Stegostoma tigrinum: one gene and its partners. The protein of the gene in region 2 interacts with the protein of the main gene of each other region in a biochemical or structural test. Links are inferred from orthologs where the notes say so. Each region holds a gene or a part of one and is shown on either strand. Other genes may lie near its edges.

Region 1 (7,606 bases), on a different chromosome or scaffold from region 2:
CGAGGACAAACAGGCAGTCCTCAATAAAGGACTCATCTTTTTCCCCCTCCACCCACACATCGACGAATACAACTCTCGTTTGGACATTGAGCAGTTTTCTGCCACCTCCGCCTCCGTGCTTATTTCTTTAACTGTAAGCCTAACCCTCGCTCCACTGACCCCCTTCTCCTGCCTCCAACGCACCCCTTCCTACTGGACACCACCCCAAGGCCTCCTACCCTCCCTTGACCTCTTCATCTCTAATTGTTGTGAGGTATTGATCGCCTCAAACTCTCCAACCCCTCACGCACTCCAACCTCTCCCCCACAGAACGTGTAGCCCTTCACTCCCTCCGCTCCAATCCCGACCTCACCATAGACAAGGGAGGCACAGTAGTGGTATAGAGCACTGACCTCTACATTGCCAAGGCCAGGCTCCAACTCTCCGACACCTCCTCCTCCCGCACCCTTGATCATGATCCCACCCCTGAGCACCAAACCATCATCTCCCAAACCATCCACAACCTCATCACCTCAGGTGACCTTCCACCCACAGCCTCCAACCTCATCATTCCCCAATCCCGCACTGCCCGCTTCTATCTCCTTCCCAAAATCCACAAACCTGACTGCCCTAGTTGACCCATTGTCTCCGCCTGCTCCTGCCCCACCAAACTTACCTCCACCTATCTCGACTCCATTTTCTCCCCCTCGGTCCAGGACTCCCTACCTACATGCGTGACACCACCCACGCCCTTCACCTCCTCCAGAACTTCCAATTCTCAGGTCTCCAACACCTCATCTTTACCACAGACATCCAGTCCCCATACACGTGCATTCCCCATGCAGATGGCCTAAAGGCCCTCCGCTTCTTCCTGTCCCGCAGGGCCGACCAGTCCCCCTCCAGTGACACCCTCATCTGCTTAGCCAAACTTGTTCTCACCCTCAATAACTTCTCCTGTAATTCCTCCCACTTCCAACAAAGGGAGTGGTCATGGGTACCCGCATGGGCCCAAACTATGCCTGCCTCTTTGTAGGATATGTGGAACAAACTCTGTTCTAAAGCTACACAGGCCCTATCCCCCATCTCTTCCTCCGTTACATTGATGACTGTTTCGGCGCCGCCTTGTGTTCCCATGAGGAGCTCGAACAGTTCAGCCACTTCACTAACACCTTCCACCCCAACCTTAGGTTTACCTGGACCATCTCTGACACCTTCCTGAACCTCTCTGTCTCCACCTCTGGCATCCACCTGGAAACCGATATCCATTTTAAGCCCACCGACTCCCACAACTACCTAGAATACTCGTCTCACCCACCCTCCTGTTAAAAGGCCATCCCCTATTCCCAATTCCTTCACCTCCGCCACATCTGGAGATGAGGCATTCCAGTCCCGAACACCCCAGATGTCCTCTTTTTTCAAGGACTGCAGCTTCCCCTCCACAGTGATTGAAAATGCCCTTGACTGTGTCTCCCGCATGTCCCACAACTCATCCCTCACACCCCCTATCCACAATAATAACCAAAATAGAATCCCCCTTGTCCTCATGTACCACTCCACCAACCTCCAAATCCAACACATCATCCTCCGACATTTCCACCATCTGCAATCTGACCCCACTATCAAAGACATTTTTCCCTCCCCACCCTTACGTGCTTTTCGGAGGGACCACTCTCTCCATGACTCCCTTGTCTGCTCCACACTGTCCTCCAGCCCCACCACCCCTGGCACCTTTCCCTGCAACTGAAGCAAGTGCTACACCTGCACCTATATCTCCCACCTCACCCCCATCCCAGGCCTTAATAAGACCACACATCAAAAGATGTTCACCTGCTGATCTGTTAATGTGATATACTGTATCCGCTGTTCCCGTTGTGACCTCCGCTACATCAGGGAAACCAAGCGGAGGCTTGGGGACTGCTTTGCGGAACACCTACGCTCAGCTCGCAACAAACAATTACATCTCCCAGACGCAAACCATTTCAACTGCGCCCCCCCCAAACTCTTCAGATGACATGTCCATCCTGGGCCTCCCACATTGTCACGATGATGCCACCCGAAAAATGTAGGAACACCATCTCATATTTCGCTTGGGAACCCTGCAGCCCAAGGGTATCAATGTGGACTTCACAAGCTTCAAAATCTCCCCTCCCCTGATCTCATCCCAAAACTAGACCAGCTCGTCCCTGCCTCCTTAACCATTCCTCCCACCTCAAGCCCCAACCCCATCTCCTACCCACTAACCTCATCCCACCTCCTTGACCTATCTGTCCTCTCTGGACTGACACATCCCTCTGTAACTCCCCACCTACATTCACCTTCGCTGGCTCTAACCCCACCTCTTTGACCAGTCTGTCTCCTCTCACCCTATCTTCTCCTTTATCCATCTTCTATCCGCCTCCCCCCTCCCTATTTATTTCAGAATCACCTTCCCCTCCCACATTTCTGAAGAAGGGTCTTGACCTGAAATGTCAATTTTCCTACTCCTCTGATGCTGCTTGGCCTGCTGTGTTCATCCAGCTTCACACCATGTTATCTCAGGGTGAATTTTATGCTTTTTCGGCTGTCAGTTTCATCACATGTTTTGGAGGATTTCTTGCCACAAGGCAAAGTGAAATCTCTCACCATATTACACCAAATTCACCTCAATAATTAGCTACATCACCACTCTGAAGCTGTTCTCACATAACTCTAGCTTAGCACGTGCCATTCCCAGAAGAACGTGCAAAGAGGTCAGAAAAGAGACAACTCGCAGTGGTTCTCCAATGGAGATCTGGAAGTTGTATTCATTGGCATGGGCCAGTGGTAAGGTGTCCTATTGCCAGGAGACTGGCAGAGGAGACCACACCATGGAACCTTGTCTAAGGTTTCCACAAAGGTTTGCGTGGTCTCCACGATCCAGAGGAATAGCCAGCTATTCACAAGGTCTTCTCTGCACCTTCAGGGTAAGTGCCACATTCTTCTAAAAACCGAAAAAACTGCAGATGCTGTAAATCAGGAACAAAAACAAGGTTGCTGGAAAAGCTGAGCAGGTTTGGCAGCATCTGTTGAGGGGGAAGGGTCACCGGACCCGAAACGTTAACACCGCTTTTTTCCTTCACAGATGCTGCCAGACCTGCTGAGCTTTTGTCGCAACTTTGTTTTTGTGCCACATTCTTCTTTCTGTTACCTCACATTCACTCTCTCTATCTCTGTTATTGCACCCACCTCACATCCAGGCTCATGCTCTAACACTTTCACTATTGTCTCCAACCCCTCACTGATTCCTGTTTCCCCCCAACCCCACGCAATCCCAACCTTCCATGTCACTAACCCTTCATGGCTTCTGCAGTGCCTACTCATTTGCCCAAGATGCCACAGCACCTTTTGACCACTAGCACCAGCACTAACAGCCATGCTACCCACTAGCGCAAAGCCTTAGATATGTGAACAGGTGCCTGACATGAGGTTCCTCAGCCCCAAGGACAGAATTGACCAGCACCACTCCTGCAGAGATGCTGTGACATTCATGCTGTTGTTTATTTCACACTAACTCTGCTGTCAGTGCAATTCATTACATACCACTTCAAACCACTGGCTTCAAGATTTTCTCTTCCTTGTTCTTGTAGGTACCAGTGGGATGTCTGAGACCCTGGCAGAGAAATGGTCTACTCTGCCAGAAACCATTAGTTGATCTCAGAGGAGAGTTCCAGGGCTTCAGAGGAAGTATCAGCAAGGCTACCTCCTACATTCCCCACCCCTTAGTGGGAATATCACATTTAGAAAGTTTCAGAGCTCAATCTGGTGACAGTTCACTGTAATAGCACTACTGCTGGTGGAGGAATATGTGTCCCAAGTTCGTGCCACGCTAAGAACTTCTGGAAACCAGGCACCTGCTTACTCAAGCAGGAGCGGATCGTGTGGTGTCAGCAATCAGGAACTTTGTCCACACAGATTGGGAGGATCTTCTATGCTCATGCCACAACTAGAAATTGCTAGGAAAACTCACCAGGTCTGGCAGCACCTGTGAAGAGGAAACGTAGCTCCAGCCAGTAACGCTTATTTTCAGAATTCCTAGCCCTTTTAACCTCTTTGCCTTCGCTAAGAACGCACATTTGAAAAGGTGGCTATCAGAAACCTTAGCTCAGGGGAGAGATTAACCTGTAATGGAGTTGGATTTCAAGGCCTGTCAGAATATTTTCTGATCAACCTCTCAGAGGTTAGAACACTTCTAACTTCTGGTGACAGGCGAGACTTGAACCTGTGACTCCTGCCTCTGAGGTAGGGACACTACCACGGTGCTCCAAGGCACTTCAATGTCAATCAAATCTGACAGACTTGAAACACAGCTGGGTTGCTCCTGCGCAGCACTCACCTCTGCTGGCTCTGACAGGGGTCTGCGCCAAGCGGGGGCTGATCGAAACTGCGCATGCTCGCCACTCCCTTTTACCACAACCCGTACGTAGGGCACGCGCACGCCTGCTCCCTCGGGAGGGGAGGGGGTGGAGAGAGAGAGAGCCGGCCAGCAGGAGCGCTCTCCTCAACCCGCGGGCCGCGCATGCGTCGGCAGTGATGGTGGGCGAGTGGAACCCATGAGGGAGCGAAGCCGGGGAGGGGGGAAACGAGAGAGCGACGCACGGAGCGAGCGAGCGAGAGCGAATACGAGCGGGAGACATGGCCGGGGTGTTCGACATCGACTTGGACCCCGAGTACCAGCAGGAAGAAGCCGTTTCGGACGAGGAGCTGGAAGGGGTAAAGAAAGGGAATTGGCGCGGCGGGCGGTTGGGTGGGGGCAGTGAGGCAGAGGAGAACCCGGTGTTGTCGCTGCCTCAGGGGAAGGCGAGGCCTGTGGAGTAGGCCGGAGGGGAGGGAGGGAAATCCTGACAAGGGACCACTTCACGCTCACTCCCTTCCCAGCAACAGTAAATGGCCCGAGAGGGAGATTGAGGCCCGGACTGGGGGGTGTGAAGAGCGGCTTTAAAGAAGGATGTAGGCCTACCTGTTATAGTAGGGAGGAGCTGTTGCAGTACGGTGCGCTCGGAACGTCCCCGCTCCTTGGCAGGTGGGGAACCAAACGCCTGGAGTTCGCGACAGCTGCCTCGCGCTGCCCCGCCCGCTCCATGCCCGCCCGCTCGCTCGCTCGCTCCATGCCCCGCTCGCCCGCTCCATGCCCCGCTCGCCCGCTCCATGCCCCGCTCGTGGCAGTAACTCCTTGGAGCTCGAGGAAAGGAAGCGGCTGAACCCAGGGAGAGTGACAGGTGCGGATAGATCAAACCATGAAATAAACCCTATAGACTGCACAAACAACCCGCGCCTGACTGCCTTTTCCTGAATGCGATATAGTAACACGGGATAAAATTCACGAAGGTGTACGCATGTTTCCAGCCCAGCTGAGGGTCCACAAACGCGGAAGATTTTTTTTTAATTACGTATGAGATTCTGGCCCTCTTCAGTACAGCCTTTCCTTCTCTCCCCTTGCTGCATTTGGAGAAATCTATGCAGCATTTTGTTGAAGAAACGCTTTCTCAGTAGCGAAACATCTTACTGTACTCGCAACGTGGCATTGTTGGTTGCACCTGCCCGAGGTCTGTGATTTCCCCTTGGCTCGAGAAAGGAGAAAATTGCTGTCGAGGCTGACCACGTTACCCCTTCCCTGAGTATACTCCAGTTTAAAATTAGAGTTGTCTATCAACTGCAACTGACAAACTAGCTTCTGAATTACTGACACCTGAAACATACTTTTTGTGCCTATATTAAAACTTGTATGTGTCGCAGCTGAATGAGCTGTTAGGAGAATATGTGGAGTAGAAATGTTAATTCTGGTATACCTGGACAGTACATCTACTCCTTTTTTCATGAATCAATGTATTCTGTCTGAGAACAGAACAATTGAGTAAGTGTTGTGCTAATTCTTCTAAATCCATTGTAAGTTTTATCTGGTAAAAGATAACATTTGTGATACTTAGGACAACTGACTTGTCATGCGGCATGGCATTTAGTTTGGAGAAAGGTGAGCACTGTCTGACCCCAGTGTGATTTATAGTATCATGGTGCAGTTGCAGCTTGGGAGGACCCAGTTTGCTCTTTTGTATCCATGTTGGCTTTTTGCAAACGGATCCCCATTAGTCCCATTCCCCAGCCTTTTTTAAACTAGAGCCCTACAGATGTTTTCAAATAACTATCCAGGTTTAACTTTTAGAAATCCACGTTTAAAAGTGCCTCTGCCACATGGCTCATGCAGTGCATTCTGGATGCCCTAACCATCTAATGTGTAAAAATGGTTTTCCCCGTGTCATTTCTGTTTCTTTTGCCATCCTGTCTATATTATGTGAACGCAGTGCAAAATATCCACAAATGTGGCTATTTATGTGCAACTGATAATGTACCTGTGATTGCTTGCATGGTGAGTTCCTAATTCTATTTCACTGTTTCAAGGTATTGAGCCGGTGCCACATGCTTTTGAAGGAGAAATAAATGTACAGTCTGTTGCCCCTGACTGTTCTTGCTCAGCGTTTAGTGCTTTGTTTTAATAGTTTTATTTTGCCAGTACCCTGGCAAACTCTGCCTATAACTGTACTGTTTTTCATACTGTATTTTGGGAATGGTTTAATGACTGAGTAAATCTGGTTTCAATTACAAAGTTATAGGAAGTTTCCTTCTTTGAGGATAATTCTCTGCAAAGTTTTGCTTTCTTTCAATGCAAAGTTACTATTGTTGTAGAATGAATATTTCTCAAGCCAGATTTTGATTTGGTAGAGAAATTTGTTTAGAGGCATGCGTTTGAAATTCGGGCTCTCTGCTATCCATATCTGCAGACATTTTGTGCAAAGGTTAGTTTTAGCTGCCTTGCAAGTTCTTCTGAAGGTGCTGATTTGTGCTTGAGTGCAATTTACTAGACGGAATCTTAGTTCTTGCCATTATTTGCATGAAAGTTGTGAACGTGGCTGAATCTGGCCCTGTTGGCAGCATGGATGACAGTTTACACTGAAACTTCCACCTATTTGAGGCACATACTGGTGAATATCTGGAGGTATTTTTGGTGTCTGATAAATTTATGTAATATTTTGGGTTTGGCTATTAGCATTAAATTGTGATTTGGAATTTTCAAGATATTATAACCTTTACAACTGTACTCCCGCCCTGCAAAAAAACTTTTGTCCTGTATAGAATGAAGCTTCTTGAGTGATTTTGGCGCTTCATTCATTCAGACAACTGGAGATGTTCTATCACACTCGAGATGCAAGTACTTCACCAATTCACACAGCGTTTCAGTATTCCTGGCCTTCATTTAACCTGCTGTTGTACCCACCGTATTTATATGGCTAGAGTAATTCAGTTTCTGGTCAATGGCGACCCCAGGGACATTGATAGTGATTGATTCAGCAATGCCTTTGAATGTCAAGGAACGGTGATTAGATTGACTCTCTCCAAAAAGAGATGTTGCCTGGTACTTGTGTGATGTGAATGTTATTTGGCACTTTTCAGCCCAAGCCTTGATATTATTCAGATCTTGTTACATTTGGATATGGACCATTTGAAGAGTTGCAAGTACTGACCATTGTGCAATCAGAGAGTGTCCCCATTTCTGACCTTGTGACGGATTAATGAAGCAGTTGAAGATGTTCAGGCCCAAGTTATTCCCTTGAGGATC
Region 2 (7,085 bases):
GAGCAAAAATACCAACTAAGGTGCAATTTCTCCCTATTTTTCTTTATTTCTGTTAAATGGGGGAGTCTATTTTATTCTAAAAATTCTGCCTCACATATACTTTCTTCTGCAATGATCTCACAGAATATGAGTTCTCTGATTGGTGCTGCGAATCTGGTCCAGTCAGAGAGTCCTGGCTGACAGTTAGTTGGGTGAATGTCAGAGATACTGACTCTCTAGTATCTGACTCTGAATAAAGCAGCACTAAAGTCATGGACTGTTCATGTGCAAATGAAGGGTGGCTTGGCGACCAGATACCAACCTCTGTGTAGCTACTTCACTTTCTAAAATAAGAAAAAGCGAAAGGAAATAGGATTGTAAAAAGATGGAAATTAATGGAACATTACCAAAATTATATCTGAAAAATCACATGGCAAATTTTAGAGTCAAAAATTCAAAGATTTATGAGTCTAGTTTAGAAGATCAATCTTTGATATGTTCTTGAGATGGATTGGCTTGATCAAAATGTAAATGAACTGCCTCTGTCTTGACATTTGCCTGTGATTCAGTAATCACAACTGGAAAGATAAATTTCCTACACCTTATGTATGACTGTCAAATTTAAATGTTTCAGGGTTGTAGCTTCATCCCAAAGAATCTGTTGCAAATGTACTGAACCTTTCTTTGTGAAGCTTGTGGGCAGTGATATATTTGTAGGTAACTGCTTCTTCTTTAAATGACTGGTTGCTGTGATAGAGTCGTAGGTTGTTCGTAGTTTAAAATCAGAAAAAATAATTGCTGAGGTAATTGCTTTCACTTGCCAGGAGTTAAAAATGCCTGCTTGCTTAAATGTTATGGACAATTGGCAGCTCACAAGATAGATACTGATGAGGATGGCTGTACTGTCCATCCAGCAAGAAAAAAAAATCCTCTCTATCACAGCACCCAATCATATCTTCAGATTCCAGAGATTTTGCTTACATTATACTCCAACACCTTTCGCTCACAAACTAAAGTACAATTAATCATCCTTGTGTAAAGAACTGCAATTGGCAAGATGCACATGTTCCTCCTTGTTCTACTGTCCGGGTTTAGTTCATACAAATGATTCTGTTCACTGTCTTATATCTGTCCATAGTATCCAATCTTAATTAAGGCTCCATTCATAACTACTAGTTGGAATGTAATGTGAATAAGTGTGAAGCTATTCACTTTGGAAGAAAAACAGAAAGAAAGAGTATTTGTTTTAAAAGGTAAGGGGTTGGAAAGTTTTGATGTCCAAAGGGACCTGCTGTACTTGTTCATGAGTTATTGAAAGCAGGTGTAGCCAGCAACTGTATCTATGGTAATATTTAAGCAATATTTAGGTATTCACTCACGTTGCAATAGCCTTCGTGGTTTTGGACCAAATGCTGGAAAACGGGATTGTTGACCAGTGTGGACATGATGGGATGAATGGCCTCCTTCTGATCTGTAAACAACTATGAAAATATGAGTTAATTAGGAAAGCAAACGGTATGACAGCCTTAATCACAAGAAGACTTGAACACAGGAGAAAAAGATGTTGCTACAATTGTGTACAACATTGGTGGGACTGAGTCTGGGATATTGCATGCAGTTTATGTTCTCCTTATTTAAGGAGGGACGTATTTGCTACAGACAGAATGCAGAGGATATTCACCAGACTAATCCTTAGGATGTGGGATTCTTTTTTTAAGAGACAATGAGGAAGCTGGTCTTGTATCCCATAGAATATCAAAGAATGAGAGGTGTTCTTACTAAAACTCAGAAAATTCTTACAGGGTAGATATAAGAGGGAAGTTTCCTCTGGCTGGTGAGTCTAGACCATGTGGCAAAGTTACAGAATAATAATCAATTAGGACTGCAATGCGAAAGAAGTTCTTAGGAATTCTTTTCCTCAGAGGGTTGTGGAAATTCATTCTTTGAGCATATTCAAGTTAGAAATCAATACATTTCTGGAGACTACCAACATCAAAGGATATGAAGGTAGTGTGAGAACGTGGCGCTGAGGTAGATGATTAGCCATGATCTAATTGAATGGTGGATTAGGGTTAGTGTTAGGGTAAAAACAAACTCAGTGGGCTAATAGTCTACTCCTGCTCCTATGTTCCTAAGAAAGGAAAGGACAGGAAAAGAGGTCAAAGATGAAAGAACAAGGTTAAGATGTAGAGGACATATTAGCACTACTTAGCCAACTCCTGTGGATTGATTCAGTTAATGTACACAACTTCCTGTTTTAGCCGATTTTGTTTTTGTAGCGCTGAGTGCCACATATCTGTGCCTCATGATTGAAAATACCTAAGTTTGATATGACTTATTGTGAAAAGAAAGGGTTACATCATTAAATTTTTACAGGTGATTTTACTTCTTAAAGCAAGTTGATCTTCACAAAGAGGTGACAAAGACTGTCAGTTGGCTTGTCTAGCTAATTTTTTAAAAAGATCATGGTTCATCCATGACTGCATCTGACTATCTCTTGAATGATTTCAGATGTTTGGCTTTTTGACCCTACTCAAGAAATGATGCCGAGTATTGATCACTCTGCATGTAGAAATACCTTCTGATGTCAATCCCGAAGATCCCTCTTATTAGTTTATATTGTATCTCCAAGTCACACAATCATAGCTTATGTTAAAGGCTCAGTCTTATCTTTTGTTTTCCGCTTTTTATTTTATGTTCACATATCTCAATTCAGTCCTCAATAGTATGAGTAACTCTGCTTAGCTCAACTTGTTATGGATGGATGAGTTACTGATATGTTATCATTAAAGGGACAGAAAGATTAAAATTCTAAGCAGGTTTGGCTTGCCTATCTGATTTTCAGCTAAACAAATTAGAAGAAAACTAAGGTGTAAAATAAAATTAAAATTGCATGGGACATTAAGCAAAGGTATTTCAAAAGTTGAATGACAGATGAGAGATGTGAAAAGTCATTCTTGTCTCAGTGGGTACATTCTCACCTGAGTTGTGGGGATGAAATCTGGCTCTAGAGACTTGAGCACATTACCTTCACCGACACACTAGATGTTGCACTGAGATAGTACCAAGGGTGTTGGACATACCACCTTAATTCTGTAATGTTAAACTAATGCTAGCTCCCGCAGCATTATTGAAAAAGGAGTGGGGCCGTTCTCTTTGTTTTCTGGCCAATATTTATCCTTCAAGCTACATCACCAGAACAGATTATTTAACCATTGCTATTTTGCAAGATGATGCTGTACACCACTTGGCCTTTGTGTTTTTCACACTGTAGTATCAAATCCTGCAGAGAGTCTTATAGCTGAGATGACTGAGTTCTATCAACCGCAACCATTTTCCTTTGCATAAAACATGTCACCAGTCAGCGCAGCGGTTCCCTCTTGTTTCTAATTGACTCTAACTTTGTTGGGACTCCTAAATATCACACTTTGTCAACTGCTGCCTTAATGCCAGGGTCTTACCTCACCTCTGGAGTTCAGATCCAGTGTGGATGAGTAAAATGCATAAAAACGTTTTTGAACAAGTATTATTTTTCACAGGTTAAGAAATAATATGCTAGGTATAGAAGAGAAGAAAGATAGTCAGGCTGAAGGATTTCGAACACAGTCAGGTTGAAGATTGAGAAAACGTTCAAGTTGAATGATGAGAATACAAAAGCTGACGTTTCGTTCATCCAGCCTCACATTTTACATCTTGGATTCTCCAGCATCTGCAGTTCCCATTATCACTGATGAGAATACAGTCAGGGTGGGGAATTTAGAGAACAGTCAAGTTGAAAGATTGAAAATACAGTCAGATTAAATGTGTGAGAACACAATCGAGGTGAAAGATTTTGAATACAATCAGGGTAAAAGATTGCCAGGGTGAAGGATTGAGAGGACAGTCAGTTTGAAGGATTGAGAACACAATCAGATTGTAGTCCACCGTCAAGTTGAAGAAGGGTCTCTTGAACTGAAAACTCTGATTTCTCTCCACAGAAACCGCCAGACCCGCTGAGTTTTTCTGGCAGTCTGTATTTTTGAAGCATCGAGAACACAGTCAGAGTGAAAGATTGAGAAGAGTCAGTATGAAAGACTGAGTCCAGTCTGTTAGACTGAGAGGACGGAGCACATACATGAGGCAACATAAAAAACACACTTCCAGCCTGAGACCGGTTGCGACTGCGCGGATGGAGCCGCGCGGCTCGCCGTAGGGGCGCGGGGCATTGTGGCCTCGACCAAGATGGCGTCCTCCGTTCGGGCGGAATGAGGGGCCGCCGACCGGGATTTCGAGGCGGCCGTACCGGCACCGGTACCTCCTTGTCCGAATAGACTGCGTCTCGCTGTCAGCTTTCACCACCCCTTTTCCCCCCCTCACTTCCCCCTCCACTTGCTCTTTCCATCACCCCCCCCTTCTCCTGAGGTGGAGGTGGTTGAGGGGGGGGGGGAAGGGGGAGAGGTGTCAGACTCTGGTTGTACTGAGTGGAGCCGGGCCGCAGCATGGCTGGAGCCAGCCTCCTGGAGGACCTGCTGGAGGAGGAGCAGGGCGACATGACCGACTGGAACCTCCCGGTGGCTTTCGTAAAGAAGCGGCACTCGGAGAAAATCGAGGGATCCAAGGCGGTCACCCAGAGCTGGCGCATGAAAGACCGGGTAAATTCCCCCTTCTCTCTGTCTCCCTGACCTGCCTGGAGGTTACATTCAAACGCCCTCGCTCGCTACACCTTCCCTGGGGCTGCCTTCGTCCATCCTCATCCCATTCCATTTAACAAAAAAGTTTCTGTGCAGCTCGCAATAAAACTTCCCATTCCTCTCCGCATGGGTTTGCTTTCAGTGAGCAAAAGGAAACACGAGCGTTATGGTTTTCAAAAGTTTATTTACTCCATTGCCCGAAATTGCCACAACTTTTTGCCATTAAACTCTACCATATAAAATGCTGCTTTAACTCTAAACGCAAACCTTTGTATTTTGCACAATCGTTACAGCATTTCGTCTTGCTTTGTTAAATATGGATTATGCCTGATCTTTGAACAGGAGGCGTAATTAAATTCCAAAGAACCCATGTGGAAGCATAAGTACAGTTTTGTAGAATTTATCACCAGCGACACATTTGTCAGGAAATAACCTTTTAAGCAATGCTTCGAATTCACTTCACGTTTTTAAACGAAGAGTAAAGTACATTTCCAGCATGTAACTCTTGAGTCAAGTACTTGGTATTTAAAACAATTTTTAAAATGGTTTTTGACACTGTGGTTGCTGAATCTACATATTTCTCATGGCTATCAGTGTTTTAAACAAGATTCTGGTAGTTTTAGGCAAAAGTATTACTTTAACATCCCTGACCAACAATGTAATTGATAAGTTTGCAAACCTTGGAGAGTAAAGTTAGATGATTCTAAATGCAGATTAATTGGAGGTGTCATACTGTAAAAGTCTTAGATGTTATTAAATTTTGTTTGGAAACTTCATTATTTGATGCTGGAATTAAATAATGGATATATGCCTTTAAACTAGATTGGCAAAAGGGTGGGATCCTCAATAGGGAATCAAGTTGAGGCTGGGAAGAGATAGGGGAGTCAGAAATAGCACGTTCAAGAGACAGGTCTGGCTGGAACAGGACAGAGCGAGGGTTGCCTGATGGATTAGTTTGTAACTGTTTCAATGCAAGAGGGCTGACAGATAAGGCCGATGAACTTGATGTGGATAGGTATGTGGAGCTGGGATACTATAGCCATTAAGAAACATGGCTGAGGGAGGGACAGGACTGGCGGCTTAATGTGCCAGGGTGTAGGTGCTTTTGGAAAGTGGGGAGGGGGTGTTTCACAGCAGTAGTCAGATGAAATAACTGAGGGATCATCTAGTGAGGCTTTGGAGCTAAGAAATAAGGAGATGGTGACATTAATGGGGTTGTACTATAGGCCCCCCCAAATAGTTGATTGGGAATTAGGAAGAAATATGCAAGGAGACTGGGGTGACTTGCAGGAACAGTAGGGTCATCGTAGTGGGGGATTTTAATTTTCCTAATGTAGATTGGGACTGCCGTAGTATTAAGGATTTAGATGGGGTGCACTCAGGAAAGTTTCCTCAAGTAGTATGTAGAGGGCCCTACTTGGAAGGGCAGAACTCGACCAACTGTTGTGAAATAGGGCAGGGCAGGGCAGGTGACTGAAGTGACAGTGGGAGAGCACTTTGGGACCAGTGTCCATAATTCTGTCAATTTTAAAATAGCTATGGAGAAGGACAAAACTGGTCCACAGGGTCAAGTTCAAAATTGGGGCAAGGCGAGTTTTGATGGAATTATGCAGGAGCTTGCAGGAGTTGATTGGAGTAGTTTGTTGCAGGTGAAGGGACCTCTGGCAAGTGGGAGGCCTTTAAAAGCGTGATAGCTAGAGTTCAAGGTCTGTGTGTTCCTGTGAGGGTAAAGGGCATGGTTTGGCAAGAGTAGGGAATCCTGGATGACAAGAGATATTTAGGCTTTGACCAGAAAAAAGGAGGCATGGCTCAGGAATGAGCAGCAAGGATCAAGGGAATCCCTAGAGGTAGATAGGGGATACAGAGTTTACTGAAGGAAATGAGGATGGTGAAAAGGAAGATGAGGTAGCTTTGGCTGAGAAGATTAAGGTGAATCCGAAGAGATTCTTTAAGTACATTAAAGGAAAATACAATAACTAGAGAGAGAATATGATCCCTCAAAGACCAAAGGTATGTGTGGAACTGCAGTAGATGGATGAGGTCCTCAACATTTCTCCACTGTGTTTACTGTGGAGAAAGACATGAAGATTTGGGGCAGTTGAACTGGGGACCATTGTAAATGGTAGGGTCTTAAGGAGTGTAACAGAGTGTCCTTGGAGTTCAGGTGCATCATTCTCTGAAAGTGGAGTCACAGGTAGACAGGGCAGTGAAGAAGGCTTTTGGGACATTGGCCTTCATCAATCAGGGCATTAAGTATAGAAATTGGAAAGTTATGTTGCAGTTGGAGTATTGTGTTCAGTTTTGATAACCTTGATTTAGGAACGGTGTTATTCAACTGGAAGGAGTGCAGAAGAAATTTATAAGTATGTTGCCAGGACTCAAGGCATTGAGTTATAGAAAGAGGTTGAACAAACCAGGATTTTTTTTCTTTAGAGC
Region 3 (7,298 bases), on a different chromosome or scaffold from region 2:
ATTCAGCTATTAGCCATGGGGACAGTTGCCACTTTGCCTATTCCATACTCGCCAGCCAGCTATAAAGATGGATCCTCAATGTTCATCAGGATCCCGCTGCACTTTCTTTCCATCCCCGGCGTAATACATACCAGACCAACTTTGACTTCTGTGTTCCTGTACCAGCCGAGGTCGAACTAATTGCATATTGCCAGGTAACAGAAGGCAAGGATCTTCACAGACTTGAGTTGCTCACTTTCCCTGAGAATAGTGCGTTTACCCTCCGAGCCTTACAGACATGCTCAGGTTTCACTGCGGGCACAAATACAATTGACTTGCTGAAAGGAATAGTGGGTGGAAATAAACATTTGGCCTCTCAGCAGAGTTGCAGGTATTGAAGCTCGCAGGTTTGAAAATAAGATCAAATGTGATTTCAATTTAATGCACAGAATGGGATGTCCATTTTGAACATGAGGTTTGGTTCAAAGTGCCTTATAGAGCAAGTTTTCACAAAAGGAAAAAGAATTGCAGGTCCCTTTCAGCAGGCATTTCACACCTAGCAGAACATATTTACTGGAGTCCAAAAAAAAGGGACCACAAACATTACAGTTCCCTTCCTAACTGAACCTGCATGTTAACTTTGACAGAATCCTGAACTAGAACTCCCAAGTTCATTAGTGCTTCAGATTTCTGAAGCCTTTCCTCATTTAGAAAATAGTCTATGCTTCGATTTTTCCTACCAAAGTGCATAACTTCACACCCTCCCACATTGTATTCCATCTGCCACCTTATCCACTCTCCTAGCCTGCCCAGGTCATTCTTAGCCTCCCTCCTCCCTCAACACTATCTTTCAGTCATCTGAAAGCTAGCAACAACATCCTCAGTTCTTTCATCCAGATTGTTAAAATGTATAACACGAATAGTTGTGGTCCCAACACTGACACTTGCCGAACTCTACGGGACACTGCTGCCACCCTGAAAAAGATCCCTTTATCCCTGCTCTCTGCCTTCAGCCAGTCAGGCAATCCCCTATCAAGGCCAGAAATTTGGCCCTAACGTTATGGGGTCTTTTCTTACTTAGCACCCTCCTGCATGGCACCTTGTCGAAGTCCTTCTGGAAATCCAAGTAATCATGTCCACTGGCTTTTCACGTTTGACTTGCTCATTTCCTCCCCAATTATTTGCTAGCCATGGCCTTCTCTTGATATGATGCACTGCAGCTCCTTACTAAGGTTCTTTGGATAGCACCTTCCAGATGCCCAACTATTACCATTGAGAAGGGCAAGGGCAGCAGATACATTGCAGCACCACCACCTGCAAGATCTTCCCCCCTCACCCATGCCTCTCTAAGCAACTCACTACCCTGACTTGGAAATATACCACCACAGCTTCAGTGTCACTGGGTCAAAATCCTGGAATTCTTTCCCTCTTGGTACTCTGGTGTACTTTCAACAAATGGACTGCTATGATTCAGGAAGGCAGCTCACTACCATCCTCTCAAGGATGGACAATAAATGCTGGTCCAGCCAGCAATACCCACATCCCTTGAATGAAGTTTGAAAATGAAAAAAAAACTCTTTCACACTCTGAAAGGGATATTTCTGATTTGTGCATTCTATTTCTAACAGAATGAATCAACAGTAACTGCTTTGACTGTCTCTTAGGGACCCTGCTCGAAAGGTCAACCACTCACTTAGTGAAATATTGTTTTCATTGACCAATATTCAAATTTACACCCTTTAAGTGCAGGCCAAGATTTCCTGCTCTCAGTGAAACAGATTGTCATGATCTTCATTAAAATTCTGGAATATTTGTTAAATGCACTCTTATGTCAAAAACAAAAAAGGATTTCCTGAACATACACAAGATAATAAACTGCAATCAAACTGGGACCACCTGACACACGTGCTCACAAAATTATGATCTGGAATCAATATAATCAAGAGAGCAGTCTACAAATCATCCTTTTGCTGATTTTCCCCTTATTTTTGTTACAAAGTATCTGGCCTACTAACAGCACGCTGCTGTATCAGTGTATGCTACTGTATCATTAGTAATAATAACATTTCATGATGACAAGAATCACAAGAGGAACTATATACTGAGACATCCACAAGTGTTACCTCCGTATGTAACTCACCATTAAATATACTGATAGTCACTAATATTAAGATTGCAACTACATGTAACCAATTCCTACTCTAACTACAGGTATCCACATGTCAACATTTTCTCTAACTATTCATTCAGGTATCCTTACCAATACATACAATACACACAAAAAAAATGCTGGAAGTGGCAAACCTTATAACCATATAAACACTGACCCTATTTCATACAAATTTATAGTTGGTGCTAATATTAGTAAAAATAGAATTAATCCTTGATTAATAATAATTATTTTAATTTTTATTTTATAATTATTTTAATTAATAATTGATTCTGTATATTGTTGTAGTACAATATATACGAGTTAATATCTGCAAAGTGATAGCCTTCCTCAGTGCTCTGGTAAATCACCTTGTTACAGCATATAACAAACAAGTGAATATTTTGTAACTCTCTGCAAGTGACCTCACTCTTCACCGTAGCACATGAATTACAATGAACATATTTCCCTATAATTCTCTTCACGTGATCCCTCCCAACACTATAGTGCTCCTGTTCTACACTACATGAAGAATAAGTTGTTACCATCTTGTGACTCTTTCTTCATTATTACAATTCACACTGTACAGCATCCCTGAACTACAGGCATAAAAGCAAATTACTGCCTTATAACTCACCATAGAAAACAACATCCCACACCATATGAAAGTGCTGTTCTACTGTAGGATTTAAGGAACAAAATATCACCTTACAATCTTCTGTAAATAACCACATCCCATATTGCATGCACTGTACTATAAGGAGCTAGGAACTATTTATTACCTTGTGGCTCTCTGTTGCTGGCAACATCTTAAACCACATTCTAATGACTTTGTATTAAAGGGTGTAAGGATTCTCGACATACGGACACATCATCCCACATCACTGTACTACACAACAGGATATAAGAAATGAGTTATTACCTTGTGACTCTCTGTAGATGATCCCATCATTTTATTTCAGCTCGTCTCAAAACAAATCCCCTTGCATCACTTCCGGATGGTGCTTATTTCTTACTGGTTGTTAGTTGACTCTCCTACTATTAGGGAGGAGGAGGAGGGGTTTAGTCAGGATACCAATGGCATCATCCCAAGTTTTCATTGTCCAACTCTTTTTTTTAAACACTGCCCTATCTTTAGGAGTCGGGCTTGTGAATAAAGTTCCAAGTTCAGTGTCATATTTAGCAATTCCTATTATCTCTCATATTTTAGCTCGTTGGCTGACGTCAGTGTCTTATGACTTGGATGTTGCCCGGGGCTAATAAATTATTGTGACAAGTCTGGATTTAATCTCAAAAACAGGGTGCAGTGTGCCAGCAACGAGAGTAATCTTGTGCAAAGCTATCCTTCTACCTCGCTAAAAGCGCGGATCCTCTAATATTATCCATTGAATATTTTGGTTGATTTCTGCCTCTTTCTTTCAGATGTTACATGGTACAACAACGTAAAAATCGTAATTATAGAAAAGGCTCCCTCCCGGCCGCCATCTTTGTGAGGGGAACTGGTGTGTTGTCGGGGGAGGATGAGCTTGTGCTTAGATTCAAAGCCTTATGCTCTTCCCCTCTGGTTTTTTGGTGGAACACTCGACGCCCTTTGTATTTTTGTTCTCCCAGTCGCTGCAGGCCCCGAAGCTGCAGTTTAGTACTTGTTGCGCGTGGCTCTATGGCCGGCTGCCATCTTAATGCGGGGCTCACCCCCACCTCCGTACTCAGGAACAGTCACGCGGTCGCTCCTCGCTCCCTTCAAGTCACCTTTCGAGGTGAGGGATGGCGTTGAGTTTGACGCGATGGAGTGGAGTTGAGCGCACACTGACGGCGCAGAATGTTTAAAAATTCTCGAGGAAAGGAGTAAACAAACTCCCGCCATGTTTGTTCGGGGCGGTCGCCATGTTTGTGCGTGGCATGCGTGGGTATGTCCGTGGACACCGATTAATTTTTAATCGTTCCCTTTTTGAAATATAAATGCCCACGATCGTTGTCACTTGGCATCTGAAACAATATACTAGTGGGCAATGAGCTTAAGTAGAAAAGGTAGTTTTTTTCAAAAGCGTTTACATCGGACGTAGACGGTGACGTGCTGACATAAGAAGGCGACGCAGTGCGCATGCGGGCCTGGCTCTGGGAAGGTTGGAGGGAGACACCGGTAAGGAGCTTGGTGGGCTCTCAGCTGGTCTCCTGTGAATTAATCTTCCTTCTTCTGCCCTCCTTGCGTCCTCTACTTGTCCCTTCTCATCTCCTACCTGCTGTCCACGCTTACAACTCTCTGCACGCTGCCTCAGGACCCTTTATTCACTCTTCGTTTTTTTGGGGGGGGTGGGGGTGTCTATCAACGCTTCTCCCATTGCTGCTGTTTGCTTTGTTTCTGCACCTGAGGCTGTTTATAGTGTGTAATCTGCCTGACCATGCTCTGGTTTTGGGGGAGGTGTTGTTCGGATCTGTCTGACCGAGTTCTGGTTTTGCAGGAGGTGTCTGTATTTGTAGTGATCAGCTACTTCATGCTGTAGTTTTTGACGAGGTATTTGGAGTGATCTAGCTGACCGTGCTCTGGTTCTTGGGAGAGGTGATTGTAAGGCTCTATCTGACTGGTTTTGGGGGTTGGTGGGGATTGTTACCGTGTGTTGCAGGAGGTCGTTATCCTTAACCAGCCTTGAGTTAGTGTTCTGTATTGGCATTGTACTGTGTTCTTGCATTTGTGTGTATTCGGTTTGCTTTCAACATCACTCATTTGAAGATTTCTGCAGTATGAGCTGCTAACTTACCTCAATGTGAATATTTTTGTTTATCAAGCCTTTCCTCAGTGAAGTTGTGCTCTGTGGCCTGCTGCAGTTTTGGAAGGGATCTTTTGGATGCAATATTAAGTTAAGTCCTGTCCCTATCTGCTCTTTCAAGTAGCTGTAATGGCTCCTATGGCACTATGCTGAACATCATTAGGATCACTAATGACTGGCCCAGTGTTTAGCCCTCAACTGGGTTATCTGATCACTGCGTATATCAGAGCTTGCTGTTAAGTTAATTGTGGTTTTCCCTTGTGTTACAGCAATGGCCATGCTTCAATAGCATCTAGTTTTAAAGTTCTTTGGGAGACCTTGAAAGCTGATGCATGATTCCAAGTATTTCTCCTCCTTGTGTGAATTAGAAGCCACTACAACATTCTGACTTGAACATGAGACCTCTGCTGATACTTGAGTGCAGCCTTAAGGCAGTAGCTTATTATCAGAGGTGCAATCTTGTGTTTTGTGTAAGGTGTTAACCTGAAGTCATGTCTCCTTTCCTCTGGGAACGTAAAAGAGACTTGCCCTTCTGTGTGGTAGGCAAGGTCTTCTGGTATCTTGAATAATTTTCTGGAAGTTAAGCAAAAATGTGCATTTCTGTAGTGGCTTTCAGTGCATCCTCAACTGAACCACTTTTGATGTCTGTGTGATCATGTGCATACTAGTACAGCCAATTTGTGCGCAGCAAGTTCCCAGAAACAACAATGTACAAGTAGACAGATAATCTGTCTTAGGGATGGTAGTTGAGGGGTGACTAATGATCAAGACACCAGAGAGAACTTATTTTTACCCCTTTTGTTTTTGAGTGATGAAAGTTTTACATCAGAGGATAGCTGGTGGCCTTTGTTCAATATTTTCCTGAATAGCAACAATCGCCAACAGTGCAATTTTCTCAATTGCATAGTGTTTTAACTAAAGCTGTGTTCTCTAGTCTGTGATTTTGGGATTTGAACCCACAACCACGGCCACCCGTAGAGCCAAGGCTGGCATGAGCATTCGGAACTTTAAGTATTTGGAAGAATGTTGTCTTGGCATGGTTATGTAGATGAACTTTTATGTTACAGTTCTCACCTAATAATTACTTCTGAATTGTGGATTTGTACCAAATGTGTTGACGCCTTTGAGACTGAAGGGTATTATTGTTTTCTGAATAGCCGTTTTGACTTCCTGGCTTCTTTTGAACCTTGCCAAACAAACTGTGCAGCCATTTTATTTTGTAAATGGTGTTGTCGTGAGGGGTTTATAAGAGCTATAGCAAAAGGACAGTGCGATGTAAATATACTCCTAAAGAGGTGCTCTTGGTCTATGCCATTGTGAAGGCAACCTGTGGGTAGTAGAACACTTGGGATCTGCTAAAGATGGAGTTTTCCCAAACTATGCAATCTTTCTTTTTGTTCATGGAGTCTGAGCACATTGGCTAGGTCAGCATTTATTGACCATCCCTACTTGCCCATTAGGTGGTGGGGAGCTGCTGTTTTGCACTATTGCAGATCATGAGGTTTAGAGCATCCTTGGGGCCATTAAGGAATTCCAGGATTTTAATTTGGTGGCAGTGAAGTAACAGTGCTCTAGTTCCAAGGTTGGATGGGCTGTGGCTTAGAGGGGAACTTGCAGGTTTCTGTGTACTTGCAGCCCTTGTTTCTCTTAGTGGTAAAGGTCATGGGTTTGGAAGATACTGCCTAAGGAACCGGAGTGTTATTGCAGTACACTTTTTGTAGACGGTATGCACTGCTGTTGCTGTACATCAATGGTGGGGTGAGTGCATGTTGAAGGAAGTAGATGGGATGCCAGTCAAGTGGAGCTACTTTGTCTGAGATGGCGTCAAGCTGTTTGAGTATTGGAGCCACACTCATCCAGGAAACTGGGGAGTGTTCCATCATGCTCCTGTTCCATAATAGCCTTGCGTTTATGGATAGAGAATGAAGCAAAAAGCACAGTAGGAGAATTTGTAACAGTGTACAGAGATAGCTTGGTAAGTTTGAAAATAAAACAGTCTTTGTGGAGAGGAAGATCATGGCTTAATGTAGACTTGACTAAGTTTGGTGAGCTAACCAGGAATGGGTTGATGTATGTAGAATCCCTAGATGGCTGGTATTAGTTAAGAAAATGGCCTTAATGTGGTGCCTGTAATGACTGTAAATTGCCCAGCAAGCGTGGCTGCACTTGTAATGCAAGGAAAGGCATCTGGCATTTATTCACACAAACCCCACAAAAGTGATAATGTTCAAATTTTTTTTGGCATGTTGGATTTAATGGCTAAATATTTGGACAGAGGGTCAGGGAGTGATAATAACTGCTTGGGGAAAAAGTGGGGATGGGCTCTTTCAGGAGTTACTGAGAAGGCAGCGATGGGGCTTGGTTTCATGTGATTAAAAACACAGATCTACATTGGATGTGAATGT

The links.
Region 1: of the proteins of rptor (region 2) and ribosomal protein S6 kinase beta-1, one has a biochemical effect on the other in vitro, tested with the Homo sapiens proteins (6 studies listed by BioGRID and IntAct, with this or other methods). The link is inferred for Stegostoma tigrinum from reciprocal best matches to the Homo sapiens genes RPTOR and RPS6KB1.
Region 3: the proteins of rptor (region 2) and akt1s1 interact in a biophysical measurement, tested with the Homo sapiens proteins (2 studies listed by BioGRID and IntAct, with this or other methods). The link is inferred for Stegostoma tigrinum from reciprocal best matches to the Homo sapiens genes RPTOR and AKT1S1.

What each region holds. Positions count from the first base shown.
Region 1 is NC_081380.1:42,724,140-42,731,745, forward strand, and holds the start of ribosomal protein S6 kinase beta-1, read left to right. Parts: upstream 1-4,513; 5' UTR 4,514-4,629; coding exon 4,630-4,707; intron 4,708-4,954; exon of another isoform or gene 4,955-5,044; intron 5,045-5,163; exon of another isoform or gene 5,164-5,213; intron 5,214-7,606. UniProt on the Homo sapiens protein: Serine/threonine-protein kinase that acts downstream of mTOR signaling in response to growth factors and nutrients to promote cell proliferation, cell growth and cell cycle progression.
Region 2 is NC_081375.1:14,204,226-14,211,310, reverse strand, and holds the start of rptor (regulatory-associated protein of mTOR), read left to right. Parts: upstream 1-4,047; 5' UTR 4,048-4,457; coding exon 4,458-4,610; intron 4,611-7,085. UniProt on the Homo sapiens protein: Component of the mechanistic target of rapamycin complex 1 (mTORC1), an evolutionarily conserved central nutrient sensor that stimulates anabolic reactions and macromolecule biosynthesis to promote cellular biomass generation and growth.
Region 3 is NC_081391.1:21,799,634-21,806,931, reverse strand, and holds the start of akt1s1 (proline-rich AKT1 substrate 1), read left to right. Parts: upstream 1-4,202; 5' UTR 4,203-4,229; coding exon 4,230-4,268; intron 4,269-5,914; exon of another isoform or gene 5,915-7,298. Other genes in the region: tbc1d17 (TBC1 domain family member 17), read right to left, coding at 2,911-2,949. UniProt on the Homo sapiens protein: Negative regulator of the mechanistic target of rapamycin complex 1 (mTORC1), an evolutionarily conserved central nutrient sensor that stimulates anabolic reactions and macromolecule biosynthesis to promote cellular biomass generation and growth.